Caenorhabditis elegans: one gene and its partners. The protein of the gene in region 3 purifies or fractionates together with the protein of the main gene of each other region. This does not show direct contact. Each region holds a gene or a part of one and is shown on either strand. Other genes may lie near its edges. The genes, in order: npr-22, hmgs-1, aipl-1 and cap-2.

Region 1 (6,175 bases), on a different chromosome or scaffold from region 3:
TATGATGCCAAAATGTTCAAATACAACTTTTCAAAATAAAAAGTGTGAAAATTTTTATTGACAGTTTAAAAGTGGCAATTACTGAGTTTTTGCCACTTTTTGCCATAGACGACTTCCAAAAAGCGAAGACTTTTCCAAAGTTTTGAAGCTTACTTGACATGAATGTTTTCTTATTTTCAGTCAACTTTATCTTGTTTTTTTCACAACATCGCACTACATCCAGACACATTTCTGTTGACTCAATATTAATTATTTATTATTTATTATTCATTTTGCAAGGATGTGGTGTTCTTATTCCTATTTTTATATACTTCTCCTTTTTCTTTCAGAAATTCTAGAAATTATTTTTATGCTAATTGAGATGTACATTTGAGACATTTTCATGCCGTGATGACGTAATCTATCTGAATCTTGAGATATCTATGTACATTCTTGCTAATAACGTGAAAGGTGTCATATGTACTGAGGTCTACCTTATCATTTCCTGATTATAACATCATTGAAACATATTTTAGACATATTTTAATAAATTTCAGTTTTTTTTTGTCCTATCTGGTCAATAGTTTTTTCTACAAAAAAATAGACAAATAAGAATTAAATTCAGCTAAAATTATTGAGATATAGTGTTGAAGAATACGATAAAACGACGGTAATCTTTCATTCGATTAAATTCTAGAAACCAATCGCGTATCCAAAATCTTAAATTTTTATAATTAACAGTTAGCTAGAGTTTCTTTATTGGAACATACAATTAGCACAATACAATTGGAAAACTTCGGTTTAAAGAATCTGTAACAATTTTCTTTTACTTGATTTTGTTCAAGTTTCTCAAGTTTTAGCACGTGCTCTAACCCTGCAATAAAAGTTTGTACTTTATTCAAGTATTCATATTGTACTTGTACTCTATCGTATGATCATATTACTCATGTCTAAAACTTCGGTAGACACGCATTTTTCCAACATTTTTCTTCCATAAATTCCTGTTATCTTGCAAAGTTCATTTGTAAACTAATACAACACATGTCTGGCTGATTTGACCTTTCTCATTGAAATTGATGGATCATGTGTCAAAATGGGACCACTACAGATCACTAGATACTACTATCACTATATCACTATTTAAACATGGCAGATTTCAAGAAAGTTTGCCACATTTTCAGATGAAATCATCTTATTAATTTTGATTTCGAAAACAGATATTAGCAGCCTACCTTCTGGATTTTTCGGTTACAATGTACCTATTTATTAATCAAAAACTATCACTTCTGCATTTTGTAATCATTCCCCAATCATCCTTGTGCGAAAAATAGGATAGTTCTTCAAGTTTTTCCCTTCCCTATACTTTTGCCATATATTTTTTTAATTCCCACTGGACTTTCCCAAAAGAATTATTTTTCGAATATACCACACTTTTAACAAATTTTCTGGATTCGGAAACATTATATTTTTTTTTCTACAAAACCGCAAAGACTATAGTCATTTTTCGAGGTCAACAAACATCCAAATATCATTGCGAGCATCCTATGTTCCTCTAATTCTCTCATACTTTGCTTCCGAAAACCCAAGAATCACAAAAAAATCTTGTTTGATCTTTGCCTTATTTTTCCAACTGCTAATTGACCTTCTTCGTTTATATAATTTTTCACTTTATAGAAATTTACTTTTTAATCAATTTCAAACAACAAAATTTGATACACTTTCTTAATATTATCCTTCTCCTACATTCTCATAAATTTGAAGGTTTCTCTTTCAACATTTCTGATCTAAAAAATGTGCGAGAAAATACATTCTTGGTTTCTTCATATTCATTTATTTCTCCGAAATATGTTCTCTTTTTCTTTGTTTTTAATTTTCGGTTTTCTATGAACAAGTGGTCTTCCTTATTTGGAACACTTCCCCAAACTCTTTCCGAATAAATTGTTTTAAATTTCAGATCGAACGATTCGTCATCTAATTCGTGAGCAAATATGGACGAAGGAGGGGGTATTGGAAGCAGTTTGCTCTCCAGAATCACGACGACAGCCTCTGAAATTATGATGCGAAACGAACCGACGACAACTGAAAATCCAGCTGTTCAAGAAATGAATCATATTTATCATTTGACACCAAGTATGAAGGTGAGACTTTTAAAAAATATTCTTATACATTCAAAGTATATCTAAAAATCCAAATTTTACAAGAGTTTTGAAACTTTGAAAAAAGGAACTAAAATTAGTTTTTTTTACATTTCATATTTAGGCAATTTGGCCATGTTTTTAGCCAATTTTACCTGCTGAAAATTGATTTTAACGTGCCATGTACTTTTATTTTAGTTAATTTATGATAGCGTTTTCTTCAAAACTTGAACCGTAAATAAAAAGTTTTGAAAATTTTTCAAGTGCTATCATTATTAAAATTCGGTATAATTTTTAGAGGCCATTTTAAGTGTAAAAAATGAATAAAATTACTACATTATTACCTTTAATATTTGTACCTATTTATTACTAATTTTTTACAGATGTTATGTATTCTTTTCTATAGTATACTTTGCGTATGCTGTGTCTATGGAAATGTGCTCGTTATTCTGGTTATTGTTTATTTTAAACGACTTCGAACGGCGACTAATATTTTGATATTGAACTTGGCAGTTGGTGGGTTTTGTTACTTTTGAATTTTTGAAAACTTTTTATAATTTTTCAAATCTCCAGAACTTATATGAGCTTCTAAATGGATAAGTTTAAAAAATTAATTAATCTAAGATGTTGAGCAAATTTCCCAAAAAAACAACTAAAATTGCAGCTGATCTTCTCATATCAGTATTCTGCATTCCGTTCAGCTATTGGCAAGTATTGATTTATGATGATCAACGTTGGCTCTTCGGCTCAATGATGTGCTCTTTATTAGCATTCCTTCAAGCAATGGCTGTATTTTTATCAGCTTGGACACTTGTCGTTATCAGTTTTGATCGGTGGATGGCTATAATGTTCCTTTTAACTCCAAATATTCGAATTACAAGACGAAGAGCTCTTTATCTGGTAGCTGCCACGTGGATATTCAGTATCCTAATGGCGTTGCCGTTACTCTTCACAACGAGATTTTTCGAAGACCAAGACGGTTTACCGAATTGTGGAGAAAATTGGACGTATTTTGGAGATTCTGGAGAACAAGTGAGAAAAGTGTATTCTTCAATGGTCTTAATTCTACAATATGTTGTACCTCAAGCAGTTTTAATAATAACTTACACACATATTGGAATTAAAATGTGGAATAGTCGAGTACCAGGAATGCAGAATGGAGCAACAAAGAAAATGATCGTTGATCGACATGAAAGTGTCAAAAAGGTGAGATTTCTGGAATTATTAAAAATTTAAGCCTAACCTTTCAAAAACTCCCAGTTTTGATTTATTAGAATAATAAGAATATGGAAATAATGCAACAATCAATGGCTCCTCAGTGCGGTGATGATAATAATAACCATAATCAAAGTCAACCGACCCCTATATTTATAGGAACAATATTCTCATGTGTAGCATAAAAATAATAATCAAAAATCGTTTTTGACATAACCTTTTCCAAATCATTATTAAGTGAAACTTTAAAATTGAAAAAAATTAAATCAAAGTTCGAAGTTATTACATTTTACCTGCCTATTACATGACGGTTTGATAAAGTTGTTCAGTAGATTGAAATATCGTTTTTACTTATTTTTATCAAATACAATAAATATTACCGCGTGAGAAACGAAACCTGTTAATTAAATAAGATTTTTAGCTGGTCCCAATGGTGATTCTCATTTCGGCACTCTTCGCACTTTGTTGGCTTCCTTTACTTATACTGATCAACGTCATTCCAGAATTCTATCCAGATATCAACAGTTGGGGATATATTCTGTATTTGTGGTAAGAAATATTCTTTTAATCTGACTCAATAATTTGGTTTTAAAAATCGCATTTTGAGGTGGTTTGCTCATGGACTTGCCATGTCTCATTCAATGGTCAACCCAATTATCTATTTCATTCGAAATGCCCGTTTCCGTGAAGGATTCTGTTTCTTCTCTTCAAAACTTCTTCCATGTATATCATTTAAAGAACTTCGTCTTTTAACTGATAATACTAGCAGAAGGTATGTCAATTTCTACAAAGTTGTCTGTTTTTGAATTGAAGCCAAGAGTTAGGAGCAATTCAGTTTATTTATGTATCAACCTTATTTGTTGATAACCAGTTTGATAATTTTAATAACTCAACAATATCATTCAGTTTTCGAAACCGTTCACGGTTTTCTGGTGTCATAAATCCGACTTCAAGCGATGAAAAACCTGCTGTAAGGATGTTCTCTAACCCATGTTTTTTGTCCTTCTTGACTTTTTGTTTGGCTTGGCTTTTTTATTTTTACATTTTAAAGTTTATTTTGCACTGCTTCACATGCACTAATATGTTGATTAAGTTAATTTCATTTTAAATTATGAGTATATCGTATTTCCTCTTTTAGTATTGCACACCATTGTTCAACTTTGACAGTGTATATCTCAGTTATCATTTGTTCCATTTAAAAATTGTCAACTAACAAAATATTTTTTAGTTCTTTTTCTATAATTTCGTAGTTAAAGATATAATGATATATTCAAAATAAACCGATATATAACGTTACAAAGTAAAGTTGTCCGGTGCATTACTAAGAGAGGAAATACGGTACGTTAAATTAGCAAAATTAAAAATCTTCTAAGTCAGCCTAGGTCGTTCAGCGCAGTTAATTTGCGATGGACCCATCAGAATCCTAGAGCAGTGATTTATCTACACATCGTCAAAAAAATCGGACATTGCGCATACTGCGACTCGTAAGCTGCCTATAATGAGCACATTGAGCCAGGATTGCTATGAAATCATTGTGCTTGTTTACTGAGTCATTATGTGCCTGTCGCGAATTAACTGCGAACTAAATTTTGCCACCAAATGATAGAGGGAAAACCCCTACTACTGAGAAAGTGTTTGCCGATGAAGTTTAGCGAAACCTAGAACCATAAGAACTTGTAAGTAAAACTTTAAAAACAGTTTTTAAATTCAAATGCTTTACTTCTAAACCCTTTTTATTAATTAAACGCCTCAATTATATCCACTGCCTAGTACACATTTTCCAATCTGATTATTTCCACAACATCGACTTTCTTCCTAGCCACAACCTAATTTTCAATATTTTCAGACATCGCTTACGAGATATTCACGAAGTGGAGTCCTTGACAGGCAAACATGTCGTTCGGCACGTTTCTTCGAAGCCCGACCACTCGTCGTCGTCCGAAACAACTCTGCCAATTCTCTCGCGTAGCTTTTCCCGTATCATTAAGAAAATTGATCTACCATGTACTTGAGTGGAAAGCTATAGAAGACCATAGATTCAAGGTTTTTGTTATTTGAAATTGTATTTTAAAGCATAATTTCACAAATTATGTTTATATTCCATCCATTTTATTGTATTGTAAGAAAAAACCCCTCAGATCTCCTAAGAAACAATTTTATATGAAACATCAATTGTTGTCTGAAACGCTTTTCATACCGGTAAATACTCGCCCCACCAAATCCACGAATCATCACCAATATTTTAAACTTGTACCATACAAATTGCGTGTTTTCATTTTATTTGAATATTTTTTCAAAACTAAATGTAGAAATAAATGTTAGAATACTACAAATTTACATCTGACAGATTTAAAAGAATCCAATGAGTTGACTGAAATTTTGTAAACTGGCAAATTACTGAGCAATTCAGATAAATATTTGATTGATTTCGGTTTCAAGCTTGTAGTTCCACGTGTGAAGGTTTATTTACAGAGATTCGGCATTTGTCTATTTTTAGAAGGGATGCATTTTCCGTGAATTGTATGCAAGTATTTTATTAAAGAAAAATGAAATAAGCAGTCTTGATAGGCAGACACTTATATTTAAAGTATATAGTCACTCCAGAAAACAGACAAGAAAACAATCAAAGTGAACAATTTTTATGCATTTTCATTCAATCTTTATTCTTCAATTTTCTCATACACTTCACAAAAGTAAAGCATATGAAAACCAAAAAACACAAAACACCGTCAGCGACTTGTTGTATGCAGAAATAAATCAGAAATGATTGTCACTTATCCCTTTGTGTTGAGATGTTGTGGCGCCTTGTAAGCCAACTCGTGGACTCCTCCATTGTACAGCTTGGC
Region 2 (4,102 bases), 9.5 Mb from region 3:
CTTCAATACATGATTATCTATCGAGGAGCATATTATGGTCTGTTCGATACAACGGCTCCATATATGAATAGTGACGGAAAGATGACATTTACTGAAGCATTTCTTGTTGGACAAGTCGTCACTCTGATCGCTGCAATGACATCTTATCCACTGGATACTGTAAGAAGACGACTGATGATGGGTGCTGGAAAGAAGACGTTACCGTTCAATAACACAATATCCTGCATCAAAGTAAGATCATTTAATTGCTTCTCGGACAAAGATTTATTTATTTTCAGTACATTTACACGAAGGAAGGACCCAAGGCATTTTTCCATGGAGCCCTGGTGAACGCGATTCGTGGAACTGGTGCAGCATTGGTTCTGGCGATTTACAATGAACTTCAGAAGTACATGTGACAACCTTCCATAATATAGATAATCTTTAAAATTTCTAGTGCATTCTCTTATTTGTTCGAAAATCAGGCTCTTTTAGAAATACGTGTAAATTTGTATGTTGAAGCCTGTGCCCATTGTTTTCTGTTATGATAACGAAGAAAAGCTTTTTTTGAATCATTTTTTTTATTCAGTAACAAAACAAGATCACTGATCCACAGTTATATATGATCCATTGATTGTGCGTTCACCGGAAAGAAGAATTCCTTTCGTTGATGTTGGAGCAGATGGTGATTTGATAGTGAGCACCGCCTGAATTTCAACAATAACTAATGAACGACAATATTGCAGATTTCACGAACCTTTGCTGATGCATCTTTTCCAAAACCATGGCTTACTGGCGACATCTGGACAAATACGTGGCAGCGGGGTTTCAGAATATCCACAGCATTCGAATGGATAGAGAAAGAAGCGAGAAGAAGCGCATTTTCTTGTGATAACGTCTTTAAATGTGTGTAGATTTTGTGCACGAAAATGGTAGTTTCAACTGAAGTTGCTCCAAATTGCTCCAATATTGAAAGATCATCGAAGAGAATAACTGACGCAGAGGAATCAATTAATTTCTGAAAAATTTTGAGTTAAACAATTTTTATTCGAAAAAAGATATATGCTGAAATACCTTGTACAACTCGTCCATAATTTGTTCAGAGGTGATATCAAATAATTCGAATGGTTTCAAGAAATCGTAGAAACTAATTTGAGTGGGATTCCATCGAACTCCAGCCTTCGAACAAATCAGTCTATAACAATTAGTTTTACTTTCCATTTTATAAAGATTTACTCACTTGTAATTTGTTTCAGACAATTTGGTCGAAACAATAGCGACTTTTTGACTTGAAGTCGAAGCTGTAGAAAGGAAATGAAGAACAAATGGGAGTGACGACGCGTTATCCACTTCTTCACATACAATCAAGCCCTTAATTGACTCTTCTTGTCCTTTTAGAATTTTCAGCATTTTTTCTTTTTCTGAAAAATGTTTTTTTGTATGAAATCAAATGAAGAAAACGAAGTTTTGCAGAAAAATGAAAATGATACAATTTTAGTTTGTCCGAGAGGAGTACAAATGACTCGTAAATCGGTTTCCCCTCCCTTGGGTCTCGCAGGGAAGAGCCGTTGCCTCGACGACATTTACGGGCATTTTGATATTTCAAAACTGTTTTTTTGGCAAATTTGCATAATGAACACTTTTCGTCGATAAATCATCGTTTTTTGTGATTTTTTGCAATTCACATTTAAAAAAGAGTTTATTGCAGGCATGAGCTTGGGTCAATTGTCATATACACCAGTGACGGATGTTGGAATTGGAGCAATTGAGTTGTATTTTCCCCAGAACTTTGTCGATCAAAATGATTTAGAAAAGGTATTAATACCATTATTTCTTCAATATTGATTCCTAAATTGCAGTTTAACAATGTATCCAGCGGAAAATACACAATTGGACTGGGGCAACAGCAAATGGGATTCTGCTCGGACAACGAGGACATCGTATCCATCTCCCTTACAGTCACAAGGAAACTTATTGAAACTTACAAAGTAATATTCGCTATCAAAGTACTTAGTTTCCTCAGTTTCAGTGTGTTTAGATCTCGACTGATTCGATTGGCTGTTTGGTTGTAGGTACCGAAACAATGATCGACAAGAGCAAAAGTGTGAAGACAGCTTTAATGGACTTATTTCCTGGAAATTCGGATATTGAAGGAGTCGACATCAAAAATGCCTGCTTTGGAGGCGCACAAGTGAGTTTTTTGTCTCTCAAAATAGAATCTTCAATTATATTTTCAGGCACTGCTGCACGCTATCGATTGGGTCACAGTGAATCATCCGCTTGATAAGAAAAACGCAATTGTAGTAGTCGCGGATATTGCAATATATGAAGAAGGTCCAGCGAGATGTACAGGCGGTGCAGGAGCGATTGCTTTTCTTATTTGTCCAGATGCTTCTATTCCGATTGATCGGCAGTTTTCAGCGTGTCACATGAAAAACACGTGGGATTTCTTTAAGCCAATTAGTAAGCTATTAATTTCTCTATTTACTTTTAAAAAATTAAATTCCAGCGCCGATTCCGAGTGAATACCCCGTTGTCGATGGATCATTATCATTGAGCTCATATTTGGAAGCAGTCAGAATGACATACACATATTTCATATCAAAAGTTAATCGCCATACAACGGGTATCGACGGGCTGAACTCATTTGACGGAGTGTTTCTTCACTCACCGTTCACGAAAATGGTTCAAAAAGGCCTGGCTGTGATGAACTATACTGACTCGCAACTTCGTCACAAGCAATTGTAGGTTGATTAGTTTAGAAAAATTTTCAAATGTTTATTTTATTCAGAAATGGAAATGGTGTCGATCATAAACTCGATGAAAACGATCGCGCTGGACTTGCAAAAATGATCGAATTGTCTGCTCAAGTTTGGAAGGAAAAAACAGATCCATATCTTGTTTTCAACAGGCGAATCGGAAATATGTATACTCCATCACTCTTTGCTCAACTTTTAGCATACTTGGCAGCAGATGATTGGTATGATGAAGAATATACCGATTTTTAGAGCTAATTTTTAAAATTACTTTTCAGCGTCACCGGGGAGAAAAGCATTTTATTCTTCGCCTATGGAAGTGGTCTAGCGTCAGCAATTTTCCCAGGAAGAGTTAGGCAGACATCTAATCTTGATAAAATTCGTCAAGTCGCAATAAGGGCGATTAAAAGGCTCGATGACCGAATTCAGTTTACTCCAGAAGAGTTTACAGAAACATTACAAAAAAGAGAAGTTTTCCTACGATCAAAAGGTGAGTAATTCTAATAGTGATTGGTTTTTAATGTCATTTTGTTTTTCAGAGATTCCAAAATCTCCATCCGAAACTTCATTGTTTCCCAACACTTATTTCCTTGATAACATGGACAAGCTTTATCGCCGATCATATACTTTACACGAGGAACCAAACGGTGTTCAAAACGGGAACGGAATTCATCATTAAAAATGTATCTTTTGTTTTTTTTTTTTTAGTTTTTAATTTTATCACATCGTTTGCCATAGTCTACTTCTTTGTTACTGTTTTTTATTCGCTCATTAGAGTTGTATTTTCTTTTCTTTTTTTTAAATTAAAACGAGTTGTTTTTTTCTGATAATTGATTTTGTTGAACACGTGTACTATTGTCACGACAATATTTTCCATTTCTCGAACGGCTCAATTTAATTTCAAAGTTAAGATGGGAAGAGATCGGTCGTCAAGCTCGGACACAGACGACTACTACCGCTCCAGCAGCAGCAGGTATGCACCGGACTTTTGAACGAAACATGTTTCATTTGGAGGACCATGATGTGAAGCGGTTAAATATAAATTCCAGAACAGCTTGTGGGAAGCTTCGTGAGCCCCACGAAACCACTGCTCTGAGCATCTTCAAAAACTCACCGCAAGCTCGGTTCTGAAATTTCGCCGCTTAAAATTCATATCTCACCGTTCCTGAATTTTTTCACATGAAACATGCCTAGTAAAAAATCCTGATGGCACCATCGGCCCCTCAGAAGTAAACCATCCAAAATTAGAATTTCAGAAAAAGAGAAGATTCACACCGCCGTCGCGACGATCGGCATCGGGACTCGGATCGAGATCGAGATCGACGAAGGAGAAGGTACGATGTGTTCTTAGTTTTGGATTGCATGAT
Region 3 (4,729 bases):
ACTTCGCGATAAAGCTTTCGTCGGTGCTGTTGTGACGTTTGTAATGTCTTTCAGTGGAGTTGCAGTTATCAGTGCTTTTGCTTTTGAGATTCTAGTAAATACTGGTTTGAACGTTTTGCAAGCATCACTGGCAAATGACGCAACCACGATTGTTAGTGTGGTAAGTAACAGACCCGAGTAGGCACAAAATAGGCAGGCAGATAGGCAGAAAAAAGGTAGTTAATTTAAAGAGTTATAAGCCGTCAAAGTAGAGCAGTTGGGTATAAGTCTAATAAAGAAAATATGATAAACATGGTAAGTTAGATTTTTTTTGCTCACAATGAATTTAACCGTTCTAATAAAACTTCTGTACAAAAAAAAATAATTTTTAATATTTCATAGATCTCATCAGTACTTGCCATTGCAATAATTGATAAAAACGGACGACGCCCACTACTTCTCATTTCACTTGCAGGAATTCTGATTTGCAACTTGATAATATTCGGATTAATGTTCACTTTTGATAAGTTTGGGGTATGAAATATAATTATACCATTACCCTCTAAATCCTACCAAATCTCAGAACCAAGTTCTCGGCTTCATTCTCATTTTCTTTATCTGCATTTTTCAATTTTTCTTCGCTCTAGGCCCGGGTCCATTAAGTTATTTTATCAATGCAGAACTTGTTGGTCAAGATGCTCGAAGTGCAGCACAAAGTTGGGCAAGCGTGGTACAAATGATCTCGTGAGTCGGTGGTGACATTAAATCTTCAAACAAAAGCTTTCAGACAATTTTCAATTATCACTGCATTCCTGCCCATGAAAAATCAACTCGGAGAAGCCTGGTCCTATTTGATTCTTTTTGTTGCTCCGGTGGCAGTATCTCTGGTTTTCCTGTATTTTTCACTTCCAGAGACCAAGAATAAAAGTCCAATTGAGGTGATTAAGAACGTGACGTATAATTTTAAAGAAACAAGGGTCTTGCAAAGATCGCGCTGAAACCCATTTTTTAATTATTTTTAATTAAGTATAAAAATTTCAAATTTCCAGGTGGAAGAAGCCATTGAGGAATTACCAAAGTTGCCATTATGCCGATCAACTCGTTCGAATTCAATCAAACCTATTTAATAGTTTCATGGTATTTATAATTTCCTATTTCATCGATGATCTTCTGCCTTAACATAAAATATGAATCATGATTGTTTTTCAACAGTTTTGCGTTTGGTCTTTAAACTCGCGATCCTCGTGGTCATTCCTCATATTCAATATTTAACATTGTTACTTTTTTTTTGTTTTAACGGCTTCAAATATGATATTTTTCTCAATCTTTTGTGATGATAACATTCTTAATTGTGGAAAATTAATGTTCATATACTTTTTGCCGAAAGTTCCTTTCTACTAAAAATTCACACCAGTGGTGACTACATTCAAACACGCTCTGTTGCTACGCGAGAGAGATTCGAGACGACAGAGAAACGGGCGCTAATGAAATATTTTCAATCTTTTTTCCATTAATTTTCCCATTTTTTTTCGATTTCACGCGACAATTGTTTAATTTTATTTAAAAATCCGAATTTTAATTCATTACTAATTTCTCAGAATGTCGGAATTCTCGCAAACCGCCGTATTTCCATCATTGCCACGGGCTGCCAGAGGAGTTCCTGTTATTCTGGGTGAGTAAGACGCGGGAATAGGGGTGGCGATAGGTCGCAACAGGGCGCCCTGGCTATTTCACAGCACCTTCACGAACAATCCAATCAGAATTTTGAAGATGAAAATTAAATTAGCATGGTTTACTTACTCGAATTTTCTTTCGAGGTCGAAACTTGATACATTAAGGTCGCTAGTAGGGGTGGCGTTAGGTCGCAACAAGGCACCCTATCGCCACCCCTACGCGGGAAAACGAAATAATTGTCTCATTTTCAGGTAGCTCTCCAGCCGGCGATAAAATCCTTTATTGCAATGGGAATTCGGTCTTCACAATTCCCATCGACAGCCTCAACTCTGCCGATATCTACACAGAGCATGCTCACCAGACAACAGTCGCCAAAATATCTCCGACAGGCTTCTATTGTGCTTCTGGCGATACTCAGGGAAATATTCGGATCTGGGATACTACTCAATCAACTCACATTCTTAAACATACCATCCCAGTTTTCTCTGGACCAGTAAAAGACATCGCATGGGACAGTGAGAGCAAAAGAATTGCGGCGGTCGGCGAAGGAAAGGAACGATTCGGGCACGTATTCCTTCTTGATACTACAACATCAAACGGAAGTTTGACAGGACAAAGTCGGACCATGAACAGTGTGGATTTTAAGCCAACGCGCCCGTTTCGTATCATTTCTGGATCAGATGATAATACCGTTGCTATCTTCGAAGGCCCTCCATTCAAGTTCAAGCATGTTAGTATTATATCGCCTGAATTAGTAAACTATATTTAAATCCTTTTTTTCAGACTTTTGACCACCACAAAAAGTTCGTTCAGTCTACCAGATACAACAATGATGGCTCGCTCTTTGCCTCAACGGGAAGCGATGGAACTGTCGTTTTGTACAATGGAGTTGACGGAGAAAAAGTCGGAGTTCTCGAAGATGCCAAGGGAGTCGCCCACACAGGAAGCATATTTGCTTTAGCCTGGTCTCCGGATCAATCAAGAATTGCTACAGCTTCAGCTGACAAGTCTGTGAAAATCTGGGATGTTTCTGCAAGAAAGCTGGAGAGAACTATTGTGATGGGATCGAAGATCGAGGATCAACAGCTTGGAATTGTCTGGACAAAGAGTGCGCTGATCACGGTATCTGTCAGTGGATTCCTGAATTTCTTGAATCCAGACGATGGAAGCGTCGAAAAAATTCGTCAGGGACATAATAAAGCGATTACAGCTCTTTCGAAGAGCTCTGATGGGAAATTCTTGTTCAGTGCCGATGCGGAAGGCCATATTAGTGAGTGAAGTTGGGATTACTTGACCGAGGTTTCACAATATGCTAAAATTAACGTGCCAATTTTAGCTGAAATAGTCAATTTTCCCTACCTTTCCGTGCTATAGCGGTCTGAATTAGATTTTATCGAAATATCCTTTCTTGCATAAACTACCAAAATATGCATGAAAATATTGTAATTAAATGAAAGCTAATTTCCGACAGCTGCGACACGAAAATGTTGGACAAATTGATGATTTTTGCTGAAATTAGCTTTTTTTTTCAATTCGAGCACATTTTGGGTCTATACGAGCAAAATACACACCTTAATGAATAACAAGTTTTTCTTTATTTCAGCTACCTGGGAAATTTCAAGCGGAACTTCTTCTCGAAAATCTCCACATACCACAATGATTACTGGTGCCCAGACGTCTTCCAATGGCGACTTATTCACTGTTGGTTGGGATGATCAATTGAAGATTACTGATGGATCCGGAGACACGAAAAGCTTCAAATTGCCGTCTCAACCATGTGGACTAGAAGTTTCTGATGACTTGGCAATTGTTGCATGTTACAAGCACGTCGTCGTTCTGTCACGGGGAACGCCAACGGAAAATCCAATTGAATTCCATTCGACTTGTGTGGCGTTTTGTGCGGAGAAAAGTCTGGTGGCCGTTGGTGGAAAAGATGCGAAGGTTCATGTGTACAAACTGAATGGAGATGGACGGCTCGAGGAGTTGAAGAAGATTGAGCACAGTGCGGAAATCACCGCTGTCTCATTTTCCGACGATGGGGAATATCTAGCGGTCACTGATTTGGCTCGAAAGGTGATTCCCTACTCTGTCTCCACGGATTTTTCCGTCACCTCTCCAAACTCGTGGACTTTCCATACTTCGAAAGTACTGACAGTCGCATGGTCCCCTGACAATCAACGTCTTGCCACTGGCTCCATCGACACCAGTGTCATTATCTGGGACATGAAGAAGCCAGGCGAACATCCGGTTATTATTAAAGGTAATATTGAAATTGTCTTGCTAGTATATGAATAACGTTTTCAGGAGCCCATCCAATGTCATCTGTGAATGTGGTCCGCTGGCTCGATGAGACTACGGTGGTGTCTGCTGGACAAGACTCGAACATCAAATTTTGGAATGTTCCACTCTAGTTTTCATGTTTATATGTTTAAAATTGCATAATTTATTTTTGATTACCTATTTTTCTGCCAAAAGATGCACGTGATTTAACAATTTTTATTTACAATTCGAATGAAATTTCAATGAAGGCTTTTGGAACAAAAAAAAAATTTAAAATAAAATAAGGGAATCTATAGAACTTACAATTAGTCATAAAAACAGTATAATTAATAGTTTTAACAACAGTATCAATCCGTGCAAACTACGTTCATATCAATTAGTATGAGAACTGTTTCCCAAATACATTGTTCTACATGTGGAGACCAATCTGATACGACCAATTGATAAGAGTTTTCCCACGGTGATAAGATAGTTTAAGTTGAGACATTATCCACCCAGAAAGTGAAAGATGACTCATTTGAAATGAGAAATGTGAGTGAATATATAAAAAATAACCTTCTCGAAATTGATGACCACTTTACCTTTTTCAAAAAATGAATCGAACGACTGTTATCACTTTTGGAATATATTCAAGAGATGATATTCCAGCTATTTTGAACGGAAATTTTCGAGATAATAACAGCAACATCGAAGATGATCGCAATAAGTTGATGAAAATCAACTTCCGAGCTCGCCACATTCCATATTTCTTCACTGGATTCCTAATTGGAATATTTTTCACTTTTCTGGCAACTTT
Region 4 (3,751 bases), on a different chromosome or scaffold from region 3:
TACTTGGAAAAATTGCAAAATTTTTCAACTAGACCCTAGTTTCCTAGTTTTCCAGCATTTTAGTGTTCGGCTGGGAGAATATAACTACGATTTCGTCGAGGAGAATTTTCTACCAAGAAAATATATTTTCCAGTGAAAAACGCTTATCCCATGAGAAAAACCAAGGAATTCTCACTGAAAATTGTGATAAATAAGACAAAAACTGCCAACAAATATTAAAATATACTCGGTTTTTAGACGAAAACTATCAAGAAACGGCGCAGTAATCCTGAAAATCAGATAGAAAGTTCTAGAAAAGCCGGTATAATCTGAACTCCACGTCAATTAGGTCACCTAGTTTCGATATATCACTGGATTAACGTGAACATTTTTATTTATTTAAAAAGAAAACCCTTCAGGTTACAGGAAAATTAGCTTTTTTTCGCGAAAAAACATGTAATTTGAGCGCCGAAACATATGGTGGAACCCCCCTTGAACAGAAAAGTCGGCATGTGGCTTTAGTGACAACTGATCTTTTGTCTTCAGAGGAAGATATTGTGATTCTAGAGAACTTTGAACTATTTGGAGTCGGAAAAAACAGAATGTAGTTGCGGAGAATGCAATAAAATTGCAATTATTTCTTTTCTTTTATAGTGACGATTTCAGGGAAAATTGTAAAAGCCCTTTGCAGCGATAAAATAATTAAATTCAACGAAAATTCAAAAAAGAAATCCATTAGCAAAGCGGCAAGATCAAAAGAAAAGTACAAGTTCTGACCGTGGAATGTTGACTGTCCTCGTTGATGTCCAACATTGAACTCGATCTTTTCATAGTATGCTCACTGACTTTCGAGACGGCCTTTGTTCTTTTTGCACGCTGAAGCTAGGTTATAATGATTTGAAGTCAATGGAAAGTGGAATTTTTTGGCAATTTATAATGAAAACCTCCTTAAAACGCACGTTTAAACGTTGAAAATGCTTTTTTTCGTTTTTTAACGTTGAAAACCAAATCGGGAGCCAATTTACAGAAATGTGCGCGAATTTTCACCCAGTTTTTCAAAATTTTCACATTTAAATACTCACTTCAGATGGAAGGTTGCGGCAGTGACGTTTACTCTGACGCGCTCCAATTTTGACTCGTTTTGGCTGCAATTACTGAAATAACAAAATTTAGTGGATTCGGTGTTTTCTCGGAGATGAAGCGATGAGAATGTACAGAACACGGATAAACTTGCGATGAAAATTTCATGTCAATTAATTTAAAATTAATTTTTTCGGTTTATTAACATAAAAATTGACGGAAAAAACTTAAATTTAAAAGCTCGAAGAAAAAAACAAAAATTTGAAGAACTCTGGCGAAACGCCAAAAGCTCGCGGGTCTCGCCGCGATTTGCCGACGAGAGTGACTATGGGTACGGTGGAGGGACGAGAGAGTGAGAGAAACGGAGTGTAAAATCAATGAAGTGGTCGCTCCGTTTCGCAACTTTCCTGCTTTCTAATGGCTTTTAAAATATATTTTTGCGAAATTTAATCTTATTTGTGAACTAAAAAATCATTACCCAATCGTTTAGAGTCTTTTTATGTTTTTAATAGGTTGTAACGACTTAAAATCTGACATAAAAGTTTATTGTTTCAGGGAGCACACCCACATCCGGCTCGAAACTATCAAAAATGGTATTTTAATAAATATTTTAAAAACAATTTATAATAAATATTTACCAGGGAGAACAACAGCTCGATTGTGCCCTCGACTTGATGCGAAGACTTCCTCCACAACACTGCGACAAGAATTTGACGGACCTCATCGATCTGTGCCCTCATCTTGTTGATGATCTTCTCAGTATGTTTCCTTTTTAACTAATTTAAAAAAATTCGCTTGATGGTTTTAGGCACTATCGATCAACCGCTGAAAATCGCCGCGGACCGTGAGACCGGCAAACAGTATTTGCTTTGTGACTACAATCGAGATGGCGATAGCTACAGGTATGAGTCATTTTATTTGAAATCTATCGATTTTTTCTGATAATTCAGATCACCATGGAGTAATACCTATGATCCACCACTCGAGGATGGACAATTGCCATCGGAAAAGCGCAGAAAAATGGAAATCGAGGCAAATGCCGCTTTTGAGTCATACCGTGATTTGTAAGTTGACAGAAAAATCATATATTTGCTCATAAATAATAATAATTTCCAGATACTTCGAGGGAGGCGTCTCATCAGTTTACTTCTGGGACTTGGATAATGGAGGTTTCGCCGGAATTGTGCTCATCAAGAAAGAGGGAGACGGAGCCAAAAATATAACAGGATGTTGGGATTCTATTCACGTTATTGAGATCACGGAAAGAGTTGGTTCAAAAACTGTTGAAGAGTTTTTTTTTTTAATTTATAATTTTCCAGGCACGCCAGGCTCACTACAAGCTCACCTCCACTATCATGCTGTGGCTGCAGACAAACAAAAGCTCCAGCGGTGTGATGAACCTCGGTGGCTCCCTTACAAGACAGGTTTTGGTTTCGAGTTGTGAATATATTTAAAAAGAAATATTATAGCATGAGATGGATGCACCAATCAACGATCAGAACACACACTTGGCTAATATGGGACGAATGATTGAGGATCAGGAGTCGAAAATGCGTCTGACGATCAATGAGATATACTTTGGAAAGACGAAGAAGGTAAGCAAAATGCAAATTTATTATATGAAAAAAGTTTCATTTTTAAAAAGTACAATTTTCGAAAAAAATATTTTCCAGGTGATGTCGGATCTCCGTTCAACAGAGAAGCAGAGTGAGCTCGAGAAGCAAGATGAGATCGTTCGCGAGTTGAACAACGCCATGGCTAACCGCGGAAACTGAGTGATCTATCTACATTTGCAGCTCAAAATCTCTCATTTTAATGCTTTATTTGCGAGTTTTGTATATTTATCTACCATAATACCAGCTTGTTTCTTCTTTTAAAACCTTTTTTCATTGCCTTTTCTCGAGTGTAAACTTTTTTTCTAGAATTATTAAAATCTCTTTTCCCACAATTTCTCCTCGCTCCAAAGTGTATGTGCTATGGCTTTTCCACAATTTATTACCAAAATGCCTTGATGTTCCTTCCGAGAAGAGCTTGAGCTTTTCCTGGACCATTTTCGTTCTAGGTGCTCGTTCGACTGTTTTGTATTTTGCAATGTAAATTATCCTCTTTAAGATTACTTTTCATTTCAATTATATTTTCGATGAAAGTATTTTATTCCTTAAATTTAAAAAAAAAGAGAGGGTCTTCATCACCACTTTGAGAAATCTCCAAGGCCTGCTCTTGCAAATTTAGTTTTCTTTGCGGCCTCCAAGGGTACATCTTCCATTTTTCCTTGTCGTTTATTCACAGCTGCGGCCGACTTCATGTACTTGCCGACTCCAGTTCCAACTGCTTCTGGTTTTGTTGCAGTTTCTTTAGCTTTTTTATTTGCTAATGAAGCTGCGTCCTTAGAAGCTGAAAATAGATATCATTAGTTTTAAAATTAGTAATAGAATTAAGAAACTTTTCTTCAAAATCTCTGCTCTCTCAGCTTGAACTTCTTTCTCAGCTTCTTCAAATGGATCCACAAATACTTCAGCTCTCATAATAACAACTGAAACCATCGGAACATCAGTTCCCTCTTCAGTTTCCAACTTTTCAATCGTCGTTAGTGTATCCTGTCCTCCAACAAGTCTCCCAAAAATTGTGTGCTTTCTGTCCAAATACTTGCACGGCCGGAATGTAATGAAGAATTGTGATCCGTTGGTGTTAG

Evidence for each region.
Region 1: the proteins of aipl-1 (region 3) and npr-22 fractionate together in Caenorhabditis elegans (co-fractionation; one large-scale study listed by BioGRID). This does not show direct contact.
Region 2: the proteins of aipl-1 (region 3) and hmgs-1 fractionate together in Caenorhabditis elegans (co-fractionation; one large-scale study listed by BioGRID). This does not show direct contact.
Region 4: the proteins of aipl-1 (region 3) and cap-2 fractionate together in Caenorhabditis elegans (co-fractionation; one large-scale study listed by BioGRID). This does not show direct contact.

What each region holds. Positions count from the first base shown.
Region 1 is NC_003282.8:8,557,501-8,563,675, forward strand, and holds npr-22 (Neuropeptide receptor 22), read left to right. Parts: upstream 1-1,931; 5' UTR 1,932-1,967; coding exon 1,968-2,117; intron 2,118-2,497; coding exon 2,498-2,630; intron 2,631-2,778; coding exon 2,779-3,320; intron 3,321-3,750; coding exon 3,751-3,878; intron 3,879-3,936; coding exon 3,937-4,101; intron 4,102-4,235; coding exon 4,236-4,299; intron 4,300-5,175; coding exon 5,176-5,298; coding exon of another isoform or gene 5,299-5,341; 3' UTR 5,342-5,661; downstream 5,662-6,175. Other genes in the region: mpst-6 (thiosulfate sulfurtransferase), read right to left, coding at 6,104-6,175. UniProt on the Caenorhabditis elegans protein: Receptor for the LURY-1-1 and LURY-1-2 peptides which control food-related processes including feeding, lifespan, egg-laying and roaming behavior. Receptor for flp-7 which stimulates serotonin-induced fat loss.
Region 2 is NC_003283.11:5,682,175-5,686,276, reverse strand, and holds hmgs-1 (Hydroxymethylglutaryl-CoA synthase), read left to right. Parts: upstream 1-1,687; 5' UTR 1,688-1,689; coding exon 1,690-1,794; intron 1,795-1,838; coding exon 1,839-1,967; intron 1,968-2,017; coding exon 2,018-2,170; intron 2,171-2,216; coding exon 2,217-2,442; intron 2,443-2,488; coding exon 2,489-2,723; intron 2,724-2,770; coding exon 2,771-2,959; intron 2,960-3,013; coding exon 3,014-3,225; intron 3,226-3,274; coding exon 3,275-3,414; 3' UTR 3,415-3,556; downstream 3,557-4,102. Other genes in the region: F25B4.7 (ADP/ATP translocase), read left to right, coding at 1-231, 279-398; F25B4.4 (Elongator complex protein 6), read right to left, coding at 582-686, 737-997, 1,054-1,174, 1,220-1,389; prp-39 (Pre-mRNA-processing factor 39), read left to right, coding at 3,647-3,708, 3,992-4,069. UniProt on the Caenorhabditis elegans protein: This enzyme condenses acetyl-CoA with acetoacetyl-CoA to form HMG-CoA, which is the substrate for HMG-CoA reductase.
Region 3 is NC_003283.11:15,133,650-15,138,378, reverse strand, and holds aipl-1 (Anaphase-promoting complex subunit 4-like WD40 domain-containing protein), read left to right. Parts: upstream 1-1,577; 5' UTR 1,578-1,578; coding exon 1,579-1,651; intron 1,652-1,904; coding exon 1,905-2,383; intron 2,384-2,436; coding exon 2,437-2,923; intron 2,924-3,256; coding exon 3,257-3,913; intron 3,914-3,957; coding exon 3,958-4,064; 3' UTR 4,065-4,181; downstream 4,182-4,729. Other genes in the region: K08F9.1 (Major facilitator superfamily (MFS) profile domain-containing protein), read left to right, coding at 1-160, 382-513, 563-723, 767-917, 1,029-1,106.
Region 4 is NC_003280.10:10,867,582-10,871,332, forward strand, and holds cap-2 (F-actin-capping protein subunit beta), read left to right. Parts: upstream 1-1,614; 5' UTR 1,615-1,649; coding exon 1,650-1,652; intron 1,653-1,700; coding exon 1,701-1,818; intron 1,819-1,867; coding exon 1,868-1,961; intron 1,962-2,009; coding exon 2,010-2,123; intron 2,124-2,175; coding exon 2,176-2,326; intron 2,327-2,378; coding exon 2,379-2,483; intron 2,484-2,528; coding exon 2,529-2,654; intron 2,655-2,732; coding exon 2,733-2,834; 3' UTR 2,835-3,246; downstream 3,247-3,751. Other genes in the region: gmps-1 (putative GMP synthase [glutamine-hydrolyzing]), read right to left, coding at 757-810; cyn-4 (Peptidyl-prolyl cis-trans isomerase 4), read right to left, coding at 3,248-3,453, 3,503-3,751. UniProt on the Caenorhabditis elegans protein: F-actin-capping proteins bind in a Ca(2+)-independent manner to the fast growing ends of actin filaments (barbed end) thereby blocking the exchange of subunits at these ends.